2 linked regions of the Nothobranchius furzeri genome follow. The protein of the gene in region 1 interacts with the protein of each later gene in a pairwise test. Links are inferred from orthologs where the notes say so. Each region holds a gene or a part of one and is shown on either strand. Other genes may lie near its edges. The genes, in order: rap1gds1 and plekhb1.

Region 1 (11,593 bases):
AATTAGCAACTTCTCTTTCAGTTCTTAAAAAACTTATCAGTAAAAATATTTTTGAAGAGTATTAATTTGATGTTGATGGATGGATTTGTGTTTTATTTTTATTTGGGTTGTTGGTTCATTGCGGGAAATAGAAAAATTGTTTTGTAAGTAGGTTAGACAATTATATAAGCTACTGCTTCTGCCTTAACCTATTCAGTCATGAGATACCAAATAGACACCATATACAAATGAACGCATATGTTAGTGAGAAATGGTATTTGTATCTATTTGTATGACATGTTATTGTACACATTATCTTAAGATGACTGACTGAATAGATTGATCATTCATTCATAAGATTTTACTCAACAGCTGAATTGTTTGTATTTTGATTCTGTGTGAATGAAGATGAACAAAATCAGATAAAACACAATTGTGATTTCTTACATTTAAATTGTAAGTAAACCCCAATTTAATTTTTGTAATTTTATTTATTTATGGGTTTTCTTCACCAAATACTGAAAAACTACTTGTTTTTATTTATTTATTTATTTTCCGGAACCGCGTTGCTCTGGGTGGCTGAATGTTGGAGTAGCTCTGTTGACTATATGTAAGTTTTGCCTTTTCTTGGTCATTTTTTCTTCTAGTTTCTCAAGAAAAACTGTATTTTTTTGGACACTTTACTTTTCTGTTTCTGGTGCTGTGAAGCTTGGAGGATTTTTGCTGCTATTTTTTAGCTTTTTTCACTTTTTGAGCATTTGTTATGATGTGTAACCATGGCAACAAGCTGGTTTACAACCGGGAGCAGCTGATTAACATTGGAAAGGCTGAAATAATACCTCAACTGAAGCCACAAATCCCAAATGAGCTAAAACGCAAGAAGCGTGGGTGCAGAGCGGGAGCAAAACGGAGACAGAGAAAGAGGAAATTCAGACCATCTCTTCCATCGATCATAACGGGCAACGTGAGATCACTGGCCAACAAGATGGAGGAACTCCAAGCCCTTTCAAGGACTCAGCCAGAGTTTCGGCAGTTTCAGAACCGCTGGAGGAGATAATGCAAAGAAGGATTCTCCAGAGAATCAAGAAAATGATGGACAACCCTGAGCATTCTCTTCACAAGACTGTCCGACAACGGAAGAGTGTCTTCAGTCAGAGGCTTCTTCAGTTTGGCTGCAACACTGACCGCTACTGGAGATCCTTCCTGCCAACAGCCATTGTAATAATCAACAACTCTTTGACTTGATTATTATTATTATTCTGAGCTACTACAGCAATCAATTTCCCTCTGGGATTAATAAAGTATTTTTGAATTTGAATTGATTTTTGGGGAGAATGTGTGCTTGTTGTTGTTGTTTTCTATCAAGCTTCTAAATCAGGGGAGATGAAAGAAGAAAACTTCCAAACTCAAAGATGAATTTATCTATCCTCCTGAGACCCGAATTTGTATTTGGTGGGATGTAAAATAAATTAAAGAAAAAAACTGAAACAAAATATATTTTTTACTTAAAATCAATATCAAATGTTTCTAAATAAAAAAAAGAATAAGAATAAAGAAGCCAGTGTCCTCATATGTAGACACAGGGTCTCAGGAGGCTATTACCTGTTTTTACATGTGTTTAAACCACACGTCCTACCGCTGGCTGGGATTTTTCTGTCTGTTGGCTGAACTTTCTGCTCTGGTCTACTAGTGTTTATTATTGTTTTTGCATTTGGAACACGGACAGTCAAAAACATTTGTGTTAAAGTAGGAATGCTGAAGCAACTGCTTATTTGGTCTAACCTCCTAAAACCGTTTTAGTGAAAATAAATGAGTTCAAACAGTATTTTGAAGTTAAACACTTCGAAATAACATCTAAAATAATAATAAAGCTACTTTAATTAAAGCTCAATAATTAAAAAGGTTTTAACCTTAATCAGAAATAGCAAAACATTGGAGCAGTGACGTCTCAGATAATCTCCCCAGTTACACTGGAGATTAGAAATACGTTTCTATTTCTTTACCTGTAAGTCTATTTCTATTCTGTCACTGCAGGAGAGGCAGGATCCACCTGGACAGGTAACCAGGACCATCGCCAGTCCATGCCGGGACAATTATGGACACACACATGCACACCTGGGGGAGTGTTTACCAGTTGCTCTGACATATTTGAGGTCTGTGGGGGGAAAACGAACACTCCACGTAGAAGGTCGCAGCCAGGCGTTGAACCTGCAGCCATCTCGTTGATGCTAACCTACTGCAGCACTAGGACACTGGTTCTATGTTGAAATGTTAGTATTTATTATACGCATTCAGTCACTCCACTAACCAGCGAGGGGCTCTAACTGGAGCGATGACACCACTGCAGAGGGTCAGCCTGTTAGTATGCTGGCATAAACAACCTGTGTGTGTGTGTGTGTGTGTGTGTGTGTGTGTGTGTGTGTGTGTGTGTGTGTGTGTGTGTGTGTGTGTGTGTGTGTGTGTGTGTGATCCTGGGACGCATACACCAACCCCAGCTGTGACCTGAGTCTGGTCACGTTTGACTGAGACATGTCCAGACGGGACAGATGCCTCCCACACAGACCCAACCACGGCCACAGGAAGTCCAGCTGCTGCAGAAAATGCTAATTAATTCTAACCTGCCCGCAGCTCAACACGGTGGTCTGAGACGGACAGAGATGGAGATGCGTTCGGATCCAGACGCGAGGGTTTCAGAGCAAAAGCTTTCTACATACCGAGCAGCACCGACACAACCGTGGCGATCAGAAGCCAATTCTTCCTCAGCAAGCGCTTGAAATTCACGCCTCGTCGCTCCTTGTTGCTCATCGCGTCAGCGGTGTTGCGTTTATTCCTCAAAAATTAAACGAAGAAATGCGCTGAATCCACAACGATTCCCAAAGAGAGACACAAGCGCCTCCAGCGAACTGACGAGTCAGAGGAGGAGGAGGAGAAGGATGGAGGAGAGGAGCTCCGCGCTGCTGCAGGAGTAGCGGTCCTCTTATGGTGGGGAGGGGAGGGGGGGAGCCCCCCCCCGAGCCCCCCCTTCCTGCATGGAGGCTCAGGCACCTGTACAGAGAATAAAAACAGCAAAAACATGCTCTGCGGGTTGTCAGAGCGTTAAAGTTAAAAAGAAGTCCATCAGGACGAAAGAAAAATGTGATCTAACATTTGAAAAGAACAAACTCAGCATTTAAGCAGGAAGGCTCTGATGAACACTTCATCGTTTCTTTCAGCTGTAGAATGCTTTTATCTAATGTTGACTGAAGGTTCACCTGCACGCTGAGGAGGAAACCGACGCACTTATCCAGTCTTTGGAAGTTTTCCAGATGAAATAAGTGGATTTAATCGGATTGTTCTTTTCTGTGTTCATGGCTCCAACGCTTCTGACTCCATCACCAGTGGCTGGGATGCAGCAGCCTCGATACCATAACACAACATCCTGATTTTGTAGATTTACATTTATTCAGCAGACACTCTTTACAGAAACCTGTTCTGATTTGTTTTATTTTGATAAGTCATTACTGGATGACGTATGATCCTATCACATTTATGCATGTTTTTCCAACAACACTCACATCGTTTTTATAAAGTGTGACATTTCTTTTTTTCCCACTCTTTATGTGACAAATATGACATTACAATGAACTCTAGATTTTATTTATTTAAATGACAAATGGGTTAACCAGCATCCGCCCCTGAAACAAACTTATTTTATATTAATTGTAAAGGAATTTGAACCCTTTTGGACATCTTTCCTCAATTCAATTCAATTCAAAGATACTTTATTAATCCCAGAGGGAAGTTAGAGAACACTGCCATCCACTGGTTGTGCGCGTCAACAACCGCACATTTTGGCTGCTTTATTTTGAAAGTGTTGACCGGATGTTTTCATCTCCGTCCGGTCTCCTAGCTTGATTCTGCCATGTTTGACTGAACCAGTTTTTCGGGAACTGCCAGCCAGACCACCACTGACTGTCAGCACGGACATGAGAGAGAGTCCGGTGTGTTAGCCTGGTGGTTCCCGCTGTTTCAGAACCGTACTGTCCGACCGAACCGGCCGCTTGCTGCAGCTGCTCGATAGCTAGCTCCCACAACCCGCTAACTTCCCCCGGAGACCAGACGAGTGGGGCCTCCGGCTGGTGCGACGCGTTTCACGGAGATACCCAGACACCCCGGTTTGTTTTCCGGAGTAACACCCTGCTGAAATGGGTGAGTAGTTAACCGGCTATCCGGTTCATTCAGAGGCGAGCTTTTTCATTAGATTTACCAAAAGCATGAAGTGTAAAACCATCAGATGATGCAGTGTCTGGTGGTTTGTTGAAGTTGATTGACACAATCGTGCCAGTAAAGCCGTTCCTGACAGTTCCCGTTACTCATTTCCGTTTTCATTCATTGTAACGTGAGTTTTTAAAGGGCCGAGTGTGACCACATCGTGGATGTATGCGCGCGCGCGCCCATCCCTCGGGTGGGGTAGCCTGCCCGACTCCACGCACGGTTCTCCTCCTCGGCTCTCCTGGAGGCTGGCTCTTCGCGAGTGGGCCCCCCTGGTGCGAAGGGTCTGGGGTGGAGAAGATGCTGCTGCAGATGCAGTGAAATGGCAGCGAGCTGCTGCTGATGGTGAAGATGGCACTCCATCTGCACAGCTGTTATGCAATAGGATCAGACAGGCCACCTTCTGGTGAAACCAGCAGATCACTTGAGCCCAGGCTGAGACATTCCTGGACAGTCATCCTGACCAGGTTTTATTAATTCACACTACAGTGTGTGTGAGTTCTGTGTTAGATCTGGCCCTGATGCTAGCAGTCTCACAGGAAAGTGCCGATGGCCACAAGGCTGGAGCCGACATCTGTCTGCAATCCTTAGGGTGTTTAATGGTTACCCTGCTTTCCCACTGAATATTTACATGTTAGTGGTAACATGTTGATCAGGGATGTGTATTTTTTGAAATTCTGGCGATACGATACATATCACGATACAGGGGAGACAATACGATATATCACGATATACAGTAATCCCTCGCTACTTCGCGGTTCATTCATCGCGGATTCGCTGCTTCGCGGATTTTTTGTTTGGAGCATTTTTCAGGGGGAATTCGCCGTATTTTTCACTGATTCGCGGTATTTTTCTATGCGAAATATCAAGAAATTCTTGTTTTTTTCCATCAATTTCATCATAAAATGCACTTTTTGTAATAAAACTAAAAAAAACCAAGTAAAAAAATTTTTTTCTTGAGTTTTACCCACAAAAAAAGAATGTGATCATACGATAATTCAATAGGGAGCGTGGTTTCACAGACGCGGAAGTGATAGCGTCGGTGAAACGCCGGCTGATCTAGGAAACCCCCGAGCGTTCGAGCGTCAACGAAGTGACACGGAAATGCCGGGCTTTCCAGAAGTAAGCAAGATAACTTACTATGAGCTGATAGTTCATGGGATGGATCGGTAGGTTGGAAACTCTGATCATGAATCTGAAGAAACGATGACTGAGTGGTGAGCTGGAAAGGCGACTTCCGTTTATAGCCGCGGTTTGTGACGTAGGTGCGACGTGGAGGGAATCCCCGCGAGGGGCATGCTGGGAGTCCCTACTTCGCGGATTTTCACCTATCGCGGCCAGGTCTGGAACGCATCTACCGCGATAAACGAGGGATTACTGTATTGCTATACATTCAGTCAGACGTTACAAGCAATTTTTTTCACTGAATTTATTGTAAGAATGTTCAATAACAGTCCAAACTGATACGTAACATGTTTAACATGAGGTATCTGAACCATGATGGAGGGTTTTACATTTCAATGGTGGAAACAAAACCCGTTGCACACTGCTGCCAACTAGCGGGTGGTGATTGAATTGCACAAAACGAAAAGAAAATACACGAATGTTTGCATGTAAATTCTTTCAAGAATTAAATACACGGCTTTTGCATATCGATTTAACATTGCTGGAAAAAAAATCACGATATATTGCCATATCGATATTTTCTTACATCCCTAATGGTGATTCTAACATTCAGACTGTGTTCTGGCCATAAACTGACTTCTAAGGGGTCATATTATACAAAAGTCACCTTTTGCATTCATTTGGAAAATTCAGATGTTTAAAAGTGGGCTCATGTGAATAGTTAGCATCGTACTTGTTTGTGTTACTTTAGATTCTAGAAACAAGAGATTTGTTCTGATGTCTGTCTGTCGAGCTAAGAGTTAATCCTAAACAGGCCAGTGTTGTGGTTATTAGCCAACAAATAATTTGTAAGCTTTACTTACTCTTTGGATTCATCAATAAAATTCGTAAATATGGAAATATTTACTGATTTATTACGTAATTAGGATATCCGTTGATATGCCTAGGGGCACAACCCCTTTTTATAGGGGAAAAATGAATCCAAGCCTCTATCAATCTGTCTAAAGTTCGTAAAATTCTTTTAACGAGCAGCGGTCATATTCTATCCAACACAGACAAATTAACTTGAGACAACTTAATTGGCAATAACATTTATTGACTAATATAATCACCTTAGCTCCTTCAAAGCGCTAGCCAATCAATATCAACCAACCGATTTTATCAAACAAACAACAGGCAATGAAACCATGGAATGATGATGTGACGTAACAATCTAATCAGACCGGTGGGGTGAGATGGTTATGTGATCAGGCAATGGTGAGGCTGCTTGATGATGTAAGCAGGCAGAGATAGGCTGATTACCAAACTGGAGGGAGTTTTGAAAACAAAATGGCGGATCCTTCGTTTGGCTGACCAAAGGATCAAACTGTGTGTGTGTGTGTGGAATTTAGCTTGTCTTCCCAAACACGCACGATCAGTGGGTGTGGGACCCTGGTCAGACGCGTATTTGACGGTGTGAACAAACGTTCACAGTAAACTTAATCAAAACACTTCAAATCGCTTCACAAAGATCAAGAAAAAAAAAACAACAGATCAGTCATAAAGGCAAATTACATATCTAAACAGTCTGTCAGCCTGGCCACTGCATAAACAAACTTAGATTTTAAACAATAAAAGGAACGGAGCTTACTTCGAGATAATCCGTTGGCGTTTTTATTACGAAAGAGAGAGACCGTCTGTTAATTTAAAGCAGTCACGTGGTCGACCGCTTGTTTGGACTATTAGAGAAGCGGGAGAGAAAGAGAGGGAAAAAAAATCTTGAATGAACGAACACAAGGCGTCCGTCTGTGTCCGGGCTGAGCAGATCAGATGGCGTTGGTCCGTTGATCTCAGCAGCTAGGCCTCATGCACACGCTGTCCGGAGCGGTAAGAGCAGAGGCGGGGTGGGAGTGGGGGCGGGGGGGGGGGGGGGGGTGTCTCCTAACACCAGATGAACTGGACGGGAAGAGGAAGAGTTCCGCTCTGCGCCTCAGCTTTATAGACTCGTCCAGCGGGCGGTCTCTGTAGGGGCCGGTATCCACCGGGGCGTGTCAGACTTGGCGTCACTTGATGACATCATCAAGCTGCTGCCGGCTGCAGAGGATCATGGGACATGGAGTCCCTGCTGGCGCTGATATTAACATGCTTTATTGTCTACGCTTCAGGGCGTAGATGGCACAGTCCTTTGTAGGGCTGCACGATATTAGGAAAAACTCCGATATTCGATTACAGTGCTTAATATTGCGATATCGATATTACTCACGATAAATGAACAAATACTAAAGTATGCAGTGTTGATGTCGTCTGGCGTGTGACGTCTGCTCTGGGTTCAAAGCAAATAAAAACTAATGTATGAATTCCATTACAACATAACATTTTTATTGCAGCTGCACCTGCTACTGTATTAGCAGCAAAACAACAAACTGCATGCATGCAGTTTCTCATTGACTTTAAAACATCACCTCCACCATAAAACTTTTTCTGATGCTCCAAATACAGAAAAACATCCCATAGCAGGGTTTTTTGAATAAATAGTTTAAACGTTAAATAATAGTTAACGTCACTTAAATGCAACAGCAAATTCTCTCATTGCTACTGAGCATTTTCTCCACTTATGTGGTTATGATATAAGGCTGTTGCTGTAACTGGGAAGTGAACTGTGCTGGGCCAAACTAGGAGAATATTAAGATTTTCTGAAGGAAAGAGAAAAACAATTGTCTACCTTTCAGAAGAGGAACTGGCAAAAAAAACTACATGGAAAATATGTGAAAACGTTTGTTTTTAACCCCAAATTGAACAAGTTTACCTCAGTGGCGGATCTAGGATTTTTCTGAGGGTGGGGCCATCAAGGGGCCACAATATTTATAGAGGGGCCACGAACAGTCCAACATACTTGCATACTATTCCCAGTTTTGTATGGTAGATACAGTTTACCCCAACACCATGTTGAAAAACATCAATGCAATTGTACATCAATTTTTACTGTACATTGACAAAATACAACCACACACAGCATTTGAGAAATTTTAGCATTCAATTTATTTTGCAAAGCCACAAATATCAGGTTAAAATATGTTTGTGTGTGGAAAAAACACCAGAAGAATATCACAGGACCCTCTGCTCTTGACTGGGAAATGTCTGGTGGGAAGTCAATTAAATAAGTCTGAGTCAGTTGCTTATATCTCTCAACCTTTAACATTCATGGCATTCAGAATCTGCAAGTGACTGACTGCAAAATTCAATTAAATTTAAAGAGCCTTTACAAAATGAGAAGCACACCACCAGGTCCTACTGGAACAGAACACCGTTCTGATGTCTGCGCAGGATTCTGTGCATCACACTGGAAGATGTCTGAAAACATCAAATGAGAAATTACCTAACATAAGCCAAATACATACACAAGCATTTATTACTTTCAAAGATCAATGTTTACCATTTGATCCTGCAGGATTAGCATTGATTGGTGACTCTGGTGGCCCAGCAGGATGGAAGGTTGAGTCATTAACTTCACTCTGGTTGTCTGAATTGGAGAGAGTCTTGTCCCAGTTTGCAGCTAAAATACAAATATATGTCAAACTCCAGCTAAATCCAGCCAAAACTTTGTTTTCTATGAGACCACATTTTTATTTATTTGAAATTGAAGACTTGAAAGATTGGACTATAAAGATGAGATGTGGTAGATGTAGACAAAGAAACCAATACAATTTAAATCCATTATGTTAATGTTATAGTAAACCACATCATCATGAAGCGGAAGAATTCAGTAAACATATGTGCCATTAGTACAAGATAACATCATTTAACAAATTTGAGATAATGGTGATTTTTTTTATTTTTACCTAGAATAATGGCAGGAAAAGTTGGACTAACAAAGGAATATCCAAAACACAAAATCTCTTTGGAAAACTTAACCCTGACCTTACTTAATCAACCAATTAGAAAATTCAGTGTTTCAAACAAGGACTTTTCCCACACATTTTACAATACATCAAAATGTCACAATTTAGGGAAACCTTGAAGGAATTGTGGGAAAGGAAACTTAACTGCAACATTACTGATGATGAATGGAAAGATGCTTTGAGAAACGTAAAATCATTTACTAAAGGGAAGCAACTTTGCCACTAATGATTTGTCACGATTAACAACTTCTATCAATTTAAACAATAATCCTTTATTTTTGGTGCTTGGAATAACTGACCCAATTATTACTGATAAATATTAAAAGCTCAATGCAAATTTTCTGTGCAAGAAAATGACTCCACATTAACTGGATCAGCTCCAAGATAAAATGGGAAAAGGTTATCCTCAATTATAAGCAGAACACAATGGGCAGCATTAGGTCGTTTATAAGTGGTCAGTCCGTCCTGCTGGATAATGTGGTGCAATCATGATCTTTTTACAAAAGATTATGCGATGGCGGTGAAAAGGGAGCTTGGGGGCGGTCTCTGCGTTGCCACGGACTTCAGTTTATCTTGGACATAACTTGCTTTTTATTGCGATCAAAGCCACACTCATTAAGCTTTTTTAACAAGCCGCTCCAGAAGGTGTCTGTCCCCGTGCAGTCTCTGGTGATCTGAGCTTCAACTCTTACGGAGAGGCTCCCCGGCCATCATCTCAGCTGATTCTGTTTAGAAAAGCCAAACTTACGGCCCATGTTTACTTTCATTTTCAATATAGTTGCCGGCCGGAGCTCGGCAGTAACTGCCCACGTGATCATGATACCCCCTTCTGTTGCGCCAAGTTGTAATATGCATTCACAAGTCCGGCGTTGCGGTGATATTAGTATCAACCGTGGCAGCACGAATGCCACAAAATTCCCGCAACACCATGCCGCCACGGCGCGTTTATATTACACGTACGCTGATTTCCCAGCATGGTATGTCCTACAAGAGGCTGTCTCTCGTGTTTATCTGACATGACTGTTGCACAATAAAGATTATATTCTTTCTGACCTGATAAAGGGGGAATGGAGGTCCCTTGCCCTGTTCCAGCCTCTGGTCTACTGCCTCCTGCTGCTCTCTCTCTGATTTCTCCATGCTCGTTTTCACCAGCTGACACACTCACTCTCTTGGGAAAAAACTGCAGAATTCCCGCCTGTATCTGACCCTTTCTTTTCATGTTCTCTATCAGACAGTGCCAACTATTAACACACGAAATGCAGATTACAAAAGAAGTACATGGATTAGCAAGGGCTAACGTTTTTTCACAAGCCCTTTTTAACATTACCTTTAACTAATGTCGGCATTGCTTTCCATTGGACTTATTGTCAGACTTGACTTACATGGCAACTGTGAGTAAACAGTGATTCGTGACTTACCAACAAACTCCTCATAACGTGGACTCTCATCAGATCCGATGTCGGTTGAAAAGTTCTCCCTTCTTGGAATCTTTCAAATCTTCTTCTGTTGGATTTCACACACTATTTTGCTCCTTAGCGCCACACGGCCACTAGTGTTTGGACTCGGAATTGCATCCACCTATAATCTCATCACCGCACAAAGGACAGATAAGTGACAGGACAGGGGCACTACAGGGGCCAATCATATTTCAGCAGAGGCCAGTGCCCCTGTGGCCCCGCCCCTAGAACCGCCAATGGTTTACCTAGATCTTAAAAAGCAGCTCAGATGATGAAACTGCAACTATGATTCTGATAACAAGCTAAAAAATTGAACTAGCTCCTCTTAAGACATCCGGCTAGCAGAGCTTCTGACTGACAGTTTATGTGCAGCAGCAAATCAACTATCCTGATTAACAAGGTTATAAAAGCTCATAAATGAAAAATCACTTTGATGTGTGGGGGAACTTTTCCAGGCCCTCTTTAGCAGGGTGGGACTGGGAGGAGAGTGCTGTAGCCTTTTAGCTGGAAGCTAACCGGAGCCTGTGGCTAACATCACAACCCGGTGGAACACTAGCGACATGAAGGTAGGTGGGTTGGTTCACCGGCACTTGTCGGAGTCAGCCCGGTTATTATCAGCTGCTTAACGACACCGAGCGGACTCACGTTCACGTTTGAAAGCAGCGCTGATTCCAGAAACATCAGCACAAAGTGCGTTTGTTAATCTGAGCCAGCATGACGAACAAGGGAACGGCGCCGCTAGCTCAGTTCAGGTGTTGCGTTCCATAAGGGTCTATGTAGGGGGCGGGCGTATTACGTGAACGGACCCATCTGATTGGCCGCATATCAGAAGGGCTACATTTGATTGGTCAAATAATACTTCCGCGTAAAAAACAGAGCTGGTTTACAAAAAGTTGATGTATG
Region 2 (11,704 bases), on another chromosome or scaffold:
CTCGAGATAAGTATCCAGGTACGATTAAATACAATCCAGGGGAAAAGGGACTGTGCTTTCAAAGCCACTGTAACAGCTGGGCCAATCAAAGCAGTCTACCTTCCCTCTAAAAACACGTCCACAAAGCCCGTCCCCTGGACACGGAGCTGCTGGCCAAAACTTGTGGAGCACTGTGGGAATTCTCCTCCAAGGCCACAGTGCACAAAACGCCATTATAGAGGAGCCCTTGGACGACAGTGAGGGGCTTCATTTAAGGCGGTAATGGGACAAACGACATGTCATCGTTCTCATTTCAGCAGGAAAACCAGGGTTCTGGAATCTGTTCAGATTTAAGCTGAAATCTTTACTCATTTTCTCTGTTAAAATGTCCAATTCCCCACACGGGCCTGAAATCTAGATCATCTTTAAAGCGTTTAATGACACTCATGATCCGACGGATGTTTTGGGGCCACTTTGAACTGAAAACCATTTCTCTGTGCTCACCTGAGAGGTCGTGACCCCCAGAGCATCAAGGCCACATCAGAAGAGGAAAGGGGATAGGCGCGTATTCACTTCTAACCGAGCGTGTCCGACACCCCCCATAACATCCCACACGCAGTCACGCCAATCCCTGACCTCTGACCCGCCCGAGGAACCCAGCATCAAACTGGGACCACAGACACCTGCATTCATAAACGTGATGGAAAAGAGAGTCAAAAGGAGAGAAGCTGATGGGGATGAGGGAACGTTAAAACGCGTTAAACCAGCTGATAACGCAAAACCCCCAAAAATCAATCTGTCAGCTTAATGCTTGAGGTTGGTAGGGTAGGTGTGTTTAAATATATATTTAAATAAAGCTACCTGCTGTATCGGTTTTCCAATCAGAGAATTCCCAGAACAAAGGGTTCATTGAGCAGTGAGAGAGTGGTGGCATTGTCTCTCAAAGGTTAGTCCCCCCCCCCCCCCCCTGCCAGGGCCTACACCTTCCTTCAGAAACCCCCCCAGACACTCTGCCAGGGTTAAGTGGAATGCAGTCGACGACAGAGAGCGAAGGCGATTATTGGGAAGCAGCGGGGTCATTCCAAAATTTATTCCACATTCTTTAAATGTGCCGGAGACACTGTAGCTATTGTTGCACGCCGACAGGTGCTCGTCGGAGTCGGAGCAGATGTTTTTCACCTGCGCTGCCCGTTTCTGGATCCTGGCTCACGAGGTTTCATCGTCCTACAGCGCTAGCATCAGTCCTGTGGAGGCACTCGTGTTGAAACGTGCAAATGCAGAACACTTTTTAATGACACGATAATTTCTACCACATGAATGATGTTGATTTTACCAAATAAACATGCTGAGGGTTTGATTTGAATTGAACTTTTTCCTCTAAATTACAGCTTAAACTATTTAAAGATAAAATAAACCAAACTGAAATAAAGTGGTTAAAAAATGTTCAACTTAGCGCGGGTGGACTCAGGCTCTGCACACACGTAGCCGAGTATCCCACAAAACAACGATATTTTTATTAAATTTGGTCCGTCATCCACGAGAGTAAAGTACGGTGGCCCTGAAGTGCAAACCACAAAATCAAATCACTAAACGAACAACAAATTGAAAAGCACAACAACAAATTCACTAAACACAAAACCAAATAGAAAACCACAAAAACAAAACCCAAACCGGAAAAGGAAGGTACCAACGCTGCAACAACAGCATCACTGACTGGATGATGGATCCGTTGGCCTTTTGAACCGGAAGTTGTTCTGCCGAACGTGTTTTTTTTTAAACTTTATTTAACAAACAAAGAGTATACAACAGTGTCCGAATCATCGACATACATGTGTGCGAATCCACGGGAAGGATGCTTACGAGTACGGGTCCTTGCCAGACCGCTAAGACCGGAACCAGCGGCTCTGAATTCGGACAGTCTAGCCTTCACCTCTACGGTGGCCCGTAGGTCCCGTCACAGCCGCGGCGGCAGCTACACGCAAAGGAAAAATGCTAAAGCTAGCGAAAATGGAGCAGGAATATTAAGGAGCTGCAGCAGCTTCACGTCCATCGGCAGCGTTTGTTCACAACCGTTTTCAGGTAAAGTAACTTTGTTTATTCTAGAAGCTTTCAGGACTTACATGCTAACTTTAGATGGCTTCATGTATGTTTTAAGCTACAGAATGAACTTGTTAAACGTACACAACACATTACTACAGAGTATTATCATGTAGGTAAAAAAAAACACACGTTCGGCAGAACAACTTCCGGTTCAAAAGGCCAACGGATCCATCATCCAATCAGTGATGCCCGTTGTTGCAGCATTGGTACCTTCCTTTTCCGGTTTGGGTTTTGTTTTTGTGATTTGCACTTCAGGGCCACCGTAGTAAAGTTAAACACCATCAAAAACTATTCTTTCAAAAACTCCAACCGAAGCAGAAATTTGTGGATTCTCCTTCGTCAGCATTTGCTTGTGGACGTAAATAACCGAGGTTGTCGGTTTGGCAAAGTCACTGCCCACAAAAACAATTTCAACCCTAGCTTTTTCTTCCAGATTGGTGGTGAGGGGTATTTGGTTTTACACAATAAAAATAAAAAACAGCTACGTGTGTGCCCGGCCTCAAACGGTCATAAAACTGTTCTTGTGGAAAAATATGAATTGTGATAAAAAAGAGCAATTTTAACACTCCGCTTCCACAAACGGACGTTTTATATCTTCACTGTGCTCGCTTGTCTAAAACTTGATTGGTTACCTGAAACAGAGCTAGAGGTCGACCGATATACGAGTTTTATCAACTGCCGATTTTTAGGGGTCGATTTTCACGGCCTACATCTAGATATTTTCCACCTTAATTTCACACTAAAATGTCATTAATAACATCGGTTTATGCACAAAATGCCTGAAGCCGAATCAGTTTTTGAACTCCGAACTGTTAAATCTCAACTTTGTGCACTGCTCAGTGTAAAAATCAGACACCTAAATAAAGTTAATTTAGAGTAGTTGTTATGCAGATGGTATTAGTCAACGTAAAAATACATTTAAATTAAATTCAGCAACAGCACAGGGCTGCCCGAGGATGTGCATGACTTAAATCGGTCTTACTAAGGATACATATCAGCCGATGTATAAAACTTGGTAGATATTGGCCGACCGATATGGGTCAACCCCTAAAACGGAATCAAAGCCTGCAGTGATTCAACAGTAACTATGAAGAGCTTACCTCTGAGGAAGCTCCGGTTCTGGACAGTCCTGATAGTATCGGATGAAGAACCTTTCAGCGTCCTCCCTCTCACCACGAGACACCGCACTCCCATTCAAAACCATCACAGATGGCAGCCTGGGGGTGGGAGAAAAGGTCCCACGGGTTCATCAAATATTTAGATCATTAAATACTTAATGAAACGATCTGCTCCTGCATGAAGACGAAGCTTGTGGAGGCGGTCTTACTGTGCTAAGAGGAGGCTCCGTCTCTCCTGGCTGCTGTAGGACTGTAATAACGGAATCCCCTGTGCTTTCACCTCCTCCAGTTTAGGAAAAAAGGTCAGTTTTTCTATGTCTTCCCATTTACTAAGCCCTGGGTTTATATAAATCACAGTCAGTTTGTATCTTAATGCAAACAATTATTTAAATCTACAATCCAACCTGAGTTGTTAAGGTTGATGCTGCGAAGGTTGGGGAATAGATGCTCCAGTGTTTCCTTGGTATCTTCCACAGAGTTTATGCTGTTATTGGCCAGAACCAGCGTACTCAGTCTGGGATACAGCCGCCCAAACTTCCTGACTTCTGCCCAGTCCTGCAGCTGGTTGTCTGTGATCTGTAGGAGGCTGAGAGACGAGCAGGATGCCCGGGACTCTGACACGGTGTTGTAGCCATTCAGGCAGAGGAACAGCTCCTTCAGCCTGCAAACGAGGCGGCGGAGTGAAAAACGGAGCAGGAAATGCACACAAACTTCCCCAACGTCAGATCTGAGGCGTTCACTTACTCTGGTGTGTGCTGAGTCAGCGTATGAACGGTGTCCCAGCTGACTCGTGTGTTGATGAGGACGAGTCGTCGGACTCTGAAGAAGACGTCGGCCATGCTGGGCTCCAAATGCACGCTGCTCAGGGGGTTCATGCTTAGGTTGAGGAAGTCGAGTTGAGGGATGTTGGAGACAATTGTGCTGATCTGTCGAAACCACGGACATCTTAGAACGCAGCAGCAGCGGACCACGTGACCTGGTTCTGCGCCGATACCGTGAGGATTCAGACAGCGCGGACACCAGTTCTGCTTCACCGCTACATGGATTTCATCCATGTTAGCCGCTTCTACTACTCAGGTGAGAGCAGGGCACCACGCTACGTATTTTCGTATCAGCATGTGACCTTAGTCTTAGACCGATACCTGATGCTGGCTTTAGTGTATCCCTGATATTTTTTATTCCCCAACACAAAAAGCAGACCAGAGTTGTTCTATAAGATGCTGGAGCATCGACACCACCCTGCAAGTGCGTGAGATAGTCACACTGCAGGTCTTGCAAGGGGGGGGGGGGCAGTTTTTCTCCTTTTAAAAGAACCAGAGGGACGTAGTTACTGTGAGCCCGTGAGGTTGCCGCTGCGGCGTTGGCGTTTCTAATTCAACACCAGCAGGCAAAAAGCTCCAGAGTGGTTTAAAGAACCAAAATCAGTAAATAGGAGCGACCCAGAAGTTATTTCTGCCTCCCTAAGAAGCTAAAATATCTTTTTGTTTTACTCCAATATCCGGTGAAGCAGGCTAGAGGCTAACGTTGAGCTAACAATGCTAACGGTGAATTAGAAGTAAGCAGTCAGCTCCAAGTCGTTCAGAACAACAGCAGCAAGCTAACAGCAAGACGACAACCAACCACACTTCTTCTAATCTCACACATATTACCGTAATAAGTGTAGTTAGTTCTCCCTACCGGTCCGTTAAACACCAAAGAGTGCCAACACCAGCTATGGCAATGTATTCATCTACTCATGAACTTACCGAGTATGACTCGTTTTCACTTCTAGAAACTTCTGACGTGGACCTGTAACTGGCAACGGCCATGAAACTCACACAAAGGCAGGGGGAAAGTGATTATTTGGCTTAGAAAAATGGACTGCAGTAACCAAATTTGACCACAGGATGTCCTTCTTACTCCATTCTTATACAACATACGCTGTTGATCAAAGGTTTTTAACAATTATGAGGATGCTAACGGATGTTCTGATGAAAATTTTGCAAGGAGGAAACGTGTGAAGGAAACTCGGCAGATCTTCAAATTTTATGCAGTTCTGTAAGACTGGTGCTGTGGACCAGTTATTTTATTAGAGGGCATTAATTGGACCCGTATGAACGTAAAAAGATCGTTTTATTTGAGACCGCTCTTTCCTGTCAAAGGCGTGAGCCTTAGAACAGTTTGTCTGATGTTCTTTTGCATTTCTGAGTAGTTTGACAAAAGCTTTTAGTGCGTCTACAGTTTTCATTTTAATCATGTTGAAAAAAAAATGCCGATTTAATCCAGAGTGTAATTTATCTCCTGGTTAAAGACCAATAGGTTACTCATCAACCAGAAGGCAGGAGTGCAGCAGAACTTTAAGTATTTTAAGTCATTTGCTGAACAATCCTGCATTTTTTAACATCGTGCAGCATTGATGCAAAAGAAGTGCCTCCCCTTTCGTTATCGAGGTCTCATTTGCTGCATGGAATCCAGTTCCTCATCATGGATATTAGTGTCAGCAGCGTTAAAGCCGTCGACCCTTCTTGTTAACAGAAAAGCATCGATCTTCCAGCCTTCGGTTCGATAACCTGTGTACTTACAGGAGAAGCAGCTTGAACCACTCTGGTCTGACCCAACACTGTGGACACAGCATGGTCCATTCTGGTTGGCTCACAGACTAAAGCTATCGTTTAACAGAAAAGCTCCCCCTCAGAAGTAAAACATGACAGGAGTTAGAGCCACTAAACATTTTAAGTTGTAGAAATAAGCCTGATGTCATGGACTCGTCCATAGAGTGGCAGGAGGACACCCACCTCTCCCCAGTCGTTGAGCTGATTGTGGGACAAGTCCAGCTCCAACACGTGACCACAGAAAGCTGCGATGTCCGACCGGTCGCCGGCCTTACTAATCCCACAGTTGTTCAGAACCAGAAAGCTGGGCAGGAAGAGGCGATCTGCAGCAAAGGGGAACTCTAGTCAGTTCAACCGGACTCCAACAGGCGGCGAATGTCGAAAACGCCAGTCGATGGGTGGACGCCTCTCACCTTTAACGGGGGACCCTGGAGGGCTGGGCAGGACCACGACCCCCTGGCCATAAGGGAAGTTCTCTGGGTTGTACTTCTCACTGATGACTTGGACAAAAGTGCGCGACTCCTCTTCGTCAGAGGAATCCATGGTTCTGTAAGCTAAGCATCAACAGGAAGAGACGAAGAAAAAGCTTTTCAGACACTTTCTAGTAGGGATGTAAGAAAATATCGATATGGCAATATATCGTGATATTTTCCCCAACAATATTATATCGATATTCAAAAGACGTGTATCGGAAATATCGATATGGCAATATATTGTGATATTTTTTCCTGCGATTATTACAGCGATATTCAAAAGCCGTGTATCTAATTCCTGAAAGAATTTACATGCAAACATTTGTGTATTTTCTTTTTGTTTTGCACAATTCAATCGCCACCCTCTAGTTGGCAGCAGTGTGCAGCGGGTTTTGTTTCCACCACTCAAATGTAAATCCCTCCATCATGGTTCAGATACCTCATGTTAAACATGTTACGTATCAGCTTGGACTGTTTATTGAACATTCTTACAATAAATTCAGTAAAAAAAATTGCTTGTTACGTCTGACTGAATGTATCGCAATATATCGTGATATATCGTATCGTCTCCCCTGTATCGTGATATGTATCGTATCGCCAGAATTTCAAAAATACACATCCCTGCTTACTAGTTTCTTCAGTTTGAACAGTTTTTCTGTTCTGATCCTCCGCAGCACTCAACCATAAACCCGTCTGATCCAGCTCAGTGTCACAAATTAGAACAAGGTAGATTTGTGACCCAAAACAAACACACGTGAACACACACTGGTTTTTCATGCATCCTGCAGCAGTAGAATCAACTCAAACCCACTCAGTGTCTGCGTTCTGATAAAGAAGGAACATGTCAACCACGGAAAATGTGCAGCTCACTGATATGATTTCATAAGTTTCTGAGGAACCGTGGAGGTCTTTACTACCGAGAAACAAGCTGCAACACAGAAAACTCACAAATGAGCTGCTCCTTCATGGAATCAGCCCAAACTGATCAGTATTTATACTTTTATCCTACACAAAAGACACGTGCAGACACCTCTGCATCCTTCAGGTAAACCGAAACACCCACCCACTTCCTACATGAGCCTTCTCTGCTCTCATAGTTACGATTCTCCTGTCATTTACAGAGCTGGTTTATGAATGCATCTTTGACCTTTTTCCAACTAAAGTACATGTCCTATCGCACAATACTGGCCAATTTATCAAGTTTCCCTGCAGGTCAAAGATTATGCCAACAAACAGCCTTCTATATGACTTATTAGAAGCCGCCGTGAAGAGGGTTGCGCCCTGCGAGTGCACGGTCGATCCCCAACACAAGGCAAAACCTTCAGCTGCAAGAAAATAAAATATAAATCCAAAACACTGCAAAGGTTTCAACACCCAGCAAGTCTACATCTGCATTTTAACTCAACTAAATGTATTTATGAGTCATTTGAACCACTGGAATACAATCAGGAAGGTCATTTAAGGAAAATAACTTTAAATACACGCACTTAAACACCTTTTGAGACCGTTTATAGTGTAGAAAACCCTAAAAATGCAAGTTACTATTAATTTGTTCAGGTTTTACACATGCTGTATCCATTCATTTAGATTTACAATATTTTGTAATTCACCCCGACTTTGGCCCCTTGTTGACTCTGACAAGACCTAGAAGTTTCTGATCATTTTAAATTCAGTCCATCTGGACTCTTCCTGATATTTCTGTCAAAGTTTCCATCCCCAGTTCGTACCTGCTGTGTTGCAGAGACCAAAGGAAAGGTTGTTTTCAGCAGCAAATCATATCAGAGGTCTCCATCACTGCTGAGGAAAAAACAAAAACACACTAGGGCAAAAGAAAGCTCAGACTTTACAAAGCAAACCAGCGAAACCTGCATTACAAGGCAGACAACAACAAAGCCAAGTGACATCTGTGCTCCTGCACCTACAAGATGTTAGTCTAGACAAAGGCACTTGTCAGAAATCTGAGATGTGATCTACCGGTTAAATAGTAAATTAAAACAAACAAAACTTGATCAAGTTGCATTTTTCTGTTTAAAAATGATTTTAAACAGCACAGTTATGAAACTAGAAAATGTAAGGTGCCACAAAACCGTCTTTAGTCCCATTTATCACAAAAAAGGCAGGAAGTCATTCCCTCGTTAAAACTTATTCTTTAATCATGCTCTCTACTGCCCACTGCTGAGCAGTTGTGGGACTGCAGGGAATTTTTGTTTTCTTTTTGTAAAAACAACAACAACAGACCTCGACTGATAAATAAACCCGATTAAAACTCCAGTCGACACCAGAACATAAAGCTCATAAATGTCGCTGCAACATTTGAATGCATTTCATTAAAAGCTAATTCGTGTTGAAACGCGTTATTTTTAAACGGGTAAAGGCGAACACGAGTGCAGGACAACCAGCGCAGCTCGGGGGCTTAGCAGAGCAGGCTGGACAAAAGCCTGGGAGAAAATATTTTAGACTAACATGTTAATGGTGTTAAATGTGTATTTTTACAGTAAAGTCCAATGGAAACGACGACCTTGAAGCGTGTCTGAAAACAGCATTTCACGTTCAGCCCCGAAAAGCTAAAACCGTACGGTGGCGGCTGGAGGCGAGTCGTTTTCCGGACATTCACACTTAAAGTTTTGTTTATATTTGAAGGTCTAAGACGGGAACTTCTGTAACCGCCGTACTCACCAACCCCGGAACGCTGTCGTCGTTCAGTTTGTTGTTGTTTTTCTTCGGTTAGAGTGACAGCTTAAATACGCCCACTCTACCGGACGTGACGTAGTTTAAAAGTCTTCTGGCTAAAAGGTAACAAAAGGGTCATAAATAATAATAATAATTATATATATAAATATATATTTGCCATAAATCAAAAAGAAGAAAATCATAACTGAATCTTATATTGTTTGTGGCAATGTCAAATAAGCTTAGCGGTTTTGGAAAATGTATTCAATTTAATATAAATGTCAATTTAAAGTTAAAATTATAATAAAACCGAAAAATACTATTGAGCATATTATCTTTAATTTTATTTTAAATAAGTAAATAACTTAAGTTAAACAGTACAGACTGAAGTTACCACATTTGGCCATGAGGTGACAGTTTTGAATTCACGATCAATTGAACATTGGTTCTTTGAATTAAAATTTTACAAGTTATTATTGATTATTTTCCATAAATTAAACTGTGTATCTCGGGGTCTTGTTCAGGAGTGAGGGAAAACTGGAGCGTGAGATCGACAGGCGGATTGGTGCTGCATCTGCAGTGATGCGGGCGTTGTACCGGTGTGTCGTGGTGAGGAGAGAGCTGAGCCAGAAGGTGAAGCTCTCGATTTACCGGTGGATCTACGTTCCTACCCTCACCTATGGTCATGAGCTTTGGGTAGTGACCGAAAGAACGAGAACGCGGATACAAGCGGCCGAAATGAGTTTTCTCCAAAGAGTGGCTGGGCTCTCCCTTAGAGATAGGGTGAGAAGCTTGGTCATCCGGGAGGGGCTCGGAGTAGAGCCGCTGCTCCTCCACATCGAGAGGAGCCAGTTGAGGTGGCTCGGGCATCTGGTCAGGATGCCTCCTGGACGTCTCCCTGGTGAGGTTTTCCAGGCACGTCCAACTGAGAGGAGGCCTAAAGGTAGACCCAGGACACGGTGGAGGGACTATATCTCACGGCTGGCCAGGGAACGCCTTAGGATTCCCTCCGAGGAGCTGGTCCAAGTGGCTGGGCAGAGGGAAGTCTGGGCCTCCCTGCTTAGGCTGCTGCCCCCATGACCCGACCCTGAATAAGCGGCAGAAAATGAACGGATGGATGTGACTTTAATCCATCAAAGTAAGTTTTGGTGTCATCTCATGAAAATAAAGAACTCTCATGATTACATTGAGAACATTTCTTCTGCGTTTATAATTTCAGACATATTTTAGCTGTGATAGAGATCACAGGTTACAAAAATCAATAAAAACACGTAACCAGGAGGAAGAAAATGTTCCACCGAAGCAATCAGGTGACTCAGGTAACCCAGAACAAACCAGCACTTTCTAAAAAGAGATGATGTCACCTGCAGCCAATCTGGGGAAACTTTCATGATCGACCTGAGGACTGTTGGGCTAATCCTAGCTGATGAGTCTGTAACAAGAGTATTAAAGAGCGTAAGGTTGGTTTGGTTCATGGTGTGTGTGTGTGTGTGCGTGTGTGCGTGTAGTGTCAAAGGTACCATGAACCTAGACAGAGTGGGTAAAGAAAAGACCAGATGAAGAGGAGTGGCCTCCTAATCCAGAACAATCCCATGAGTCAGCCTGAGTCCTGGTGACTACCAGATTAAGAGCCTCGCAGAGGTAGAGGGAATATAAATTGACCCAGATGAAGCGTTCTGAATCAGATTCAGCATCAAACTGTCTCATGAAAAGAAAGTTGTCTTCCCTGTTGGATGTGCTGGATTTAAAACAGAGAGTGGATCAGAAAAATGGCGCTCCTGAAGTCAGGCTGGTTGTGGAGACAAAGTAAGCAAACTTGTACTTTTATCTTGTACTTTTACTTCTTGTACTTGTACTTTTATCTTAGAAGTAAAAAAACAAACAATTTCTTTAGTTTGCATTATTTTTGTTAAAATTTTCTTTTGTAAAAGTAAAATAATGAAAAATGCACACACACACCAGTGTCTCTAGAGTTTGATTTTCTAGAATAATATTTTGTAATCAAAGGTTTTCACATAAAATAAAACGTAAAGCGCGTCCTGTGGGATCCTGATAATTTTTTGACTTTATTTATTCATGCCGTTTATTATAAAACTAGTGAGAAAACAGATGAGCAACAATACATAACCAGCTCTTAGATTTCAACCAAATCTGGTTATAGATTAAAATAAAATTCACCAACTTACATTTATTTCTTTGCAGGAACTGTAATGAAGGTTTATAAATATAATAAAAGGACCAGATCACATTCTAAAGAAGTTTCTAGCTTTCATTTGCATGATATAAAACACACGTTTTAAATGAAAAAGCAACCTCAGATGCTCCACAATGAATCTAATATTGAATTAGAAGAAGATTTTGATCGTTAAATGAATCATTAACTCATTATTGAATTGTACATTCTAATTTTTCAAAGAAACACGGTCACAACGTGTTCTGAGAAGCACATTCTTTCATTTATGAGAAAATAAAAAATAATTCATATTTTAATGGAACATATTGTAACGTATGTTTCTGTACAGCATAATTTCTACATTGGTATACTGTAGTTATTTTAATCTGCATGAAACACTAGAAGGAAGCAAAAACCTGCATTTGTTTTGAAACTCTGTCATAATCCCGTTAATCGTCCTGCAGACTTGTCTTTAAGTGGCTTATGAGGGTCATCCTTGTGTGTGTCTGGAGGAAAAAAGATCCCAAATAAATCCAGAACAAATAAATGTGACAGAAAAACTTTACTCTTGTGATTTTAACTGGGTCCAAAAAGGTTGGT

What was found.
Region 2: the proteins of rap1gds1 (region 1) and plekhb1 interact in binary tests that used the Homo sapiens proteins (3 or more experiments, as listed by UniProt). The two-hybrid records come from large-scale screens. The link is inferred for Nothobranchius furzeri from reciprocal best matches to the Homo sapiens genes RAP1GDS1 and PLEKHB1.

What each region holds. Positions count from the first base shown.
Region 1 is NC_091743.1:87,831,916-87,843,508, reverse strand, and holds the start of rap1gds1 (rap1 GTPase-GDP dissociation stimulator 1), read left to right. Parts: upstream 1-3,946; 5' UTR 3,947-4,163; coding exon 4,164-4,167; intron 4,168-11,593. UniProt on the Homo sapiens protein: Acts as a GEF (guanine nucleotide exchange factor) for the Rho family of small GTP-binding proteins (G proteins) that stimulates the dissociation of GDP to enable subsequent binding of GTP.
Region 2 is NC_091750.1:28,770,334-28,782,037, forward strand, and holds the start of plekhb1 (pleckstrin homology domain-containing family B member 1), read left to right. Parts: upstream 1-4,129; 5' UTR 4,130-4,237; coding exon 4,238-4,274; intron 4,275-5,971; coding exon of another isoform or gene 5,972-6,111; intron 6,112-6,201; coding exon of another isoform or gene 6,202-6,331; exon of another isoform or gene 6,332-6,342; intron 6,343-7,988; exon of another isoform or gene 7,989-8,058; intron 8,059-8,937; exon of another isoform or gene 8,938-9,050; intron 9,051-10,601; exon of another isoform or gene 10,602-10,700; coding exon of another isoform or gene 10,701-10,737; intron 10,738-11,704. Other genes in the region: tubulin-specific chaperone cofactor E-like protein, read right to left, coding at 3,180-3,296, 3,407-3,533, 3,602-3,858, 3,942-4,123, 5,972-6,111, 6,202-6,331.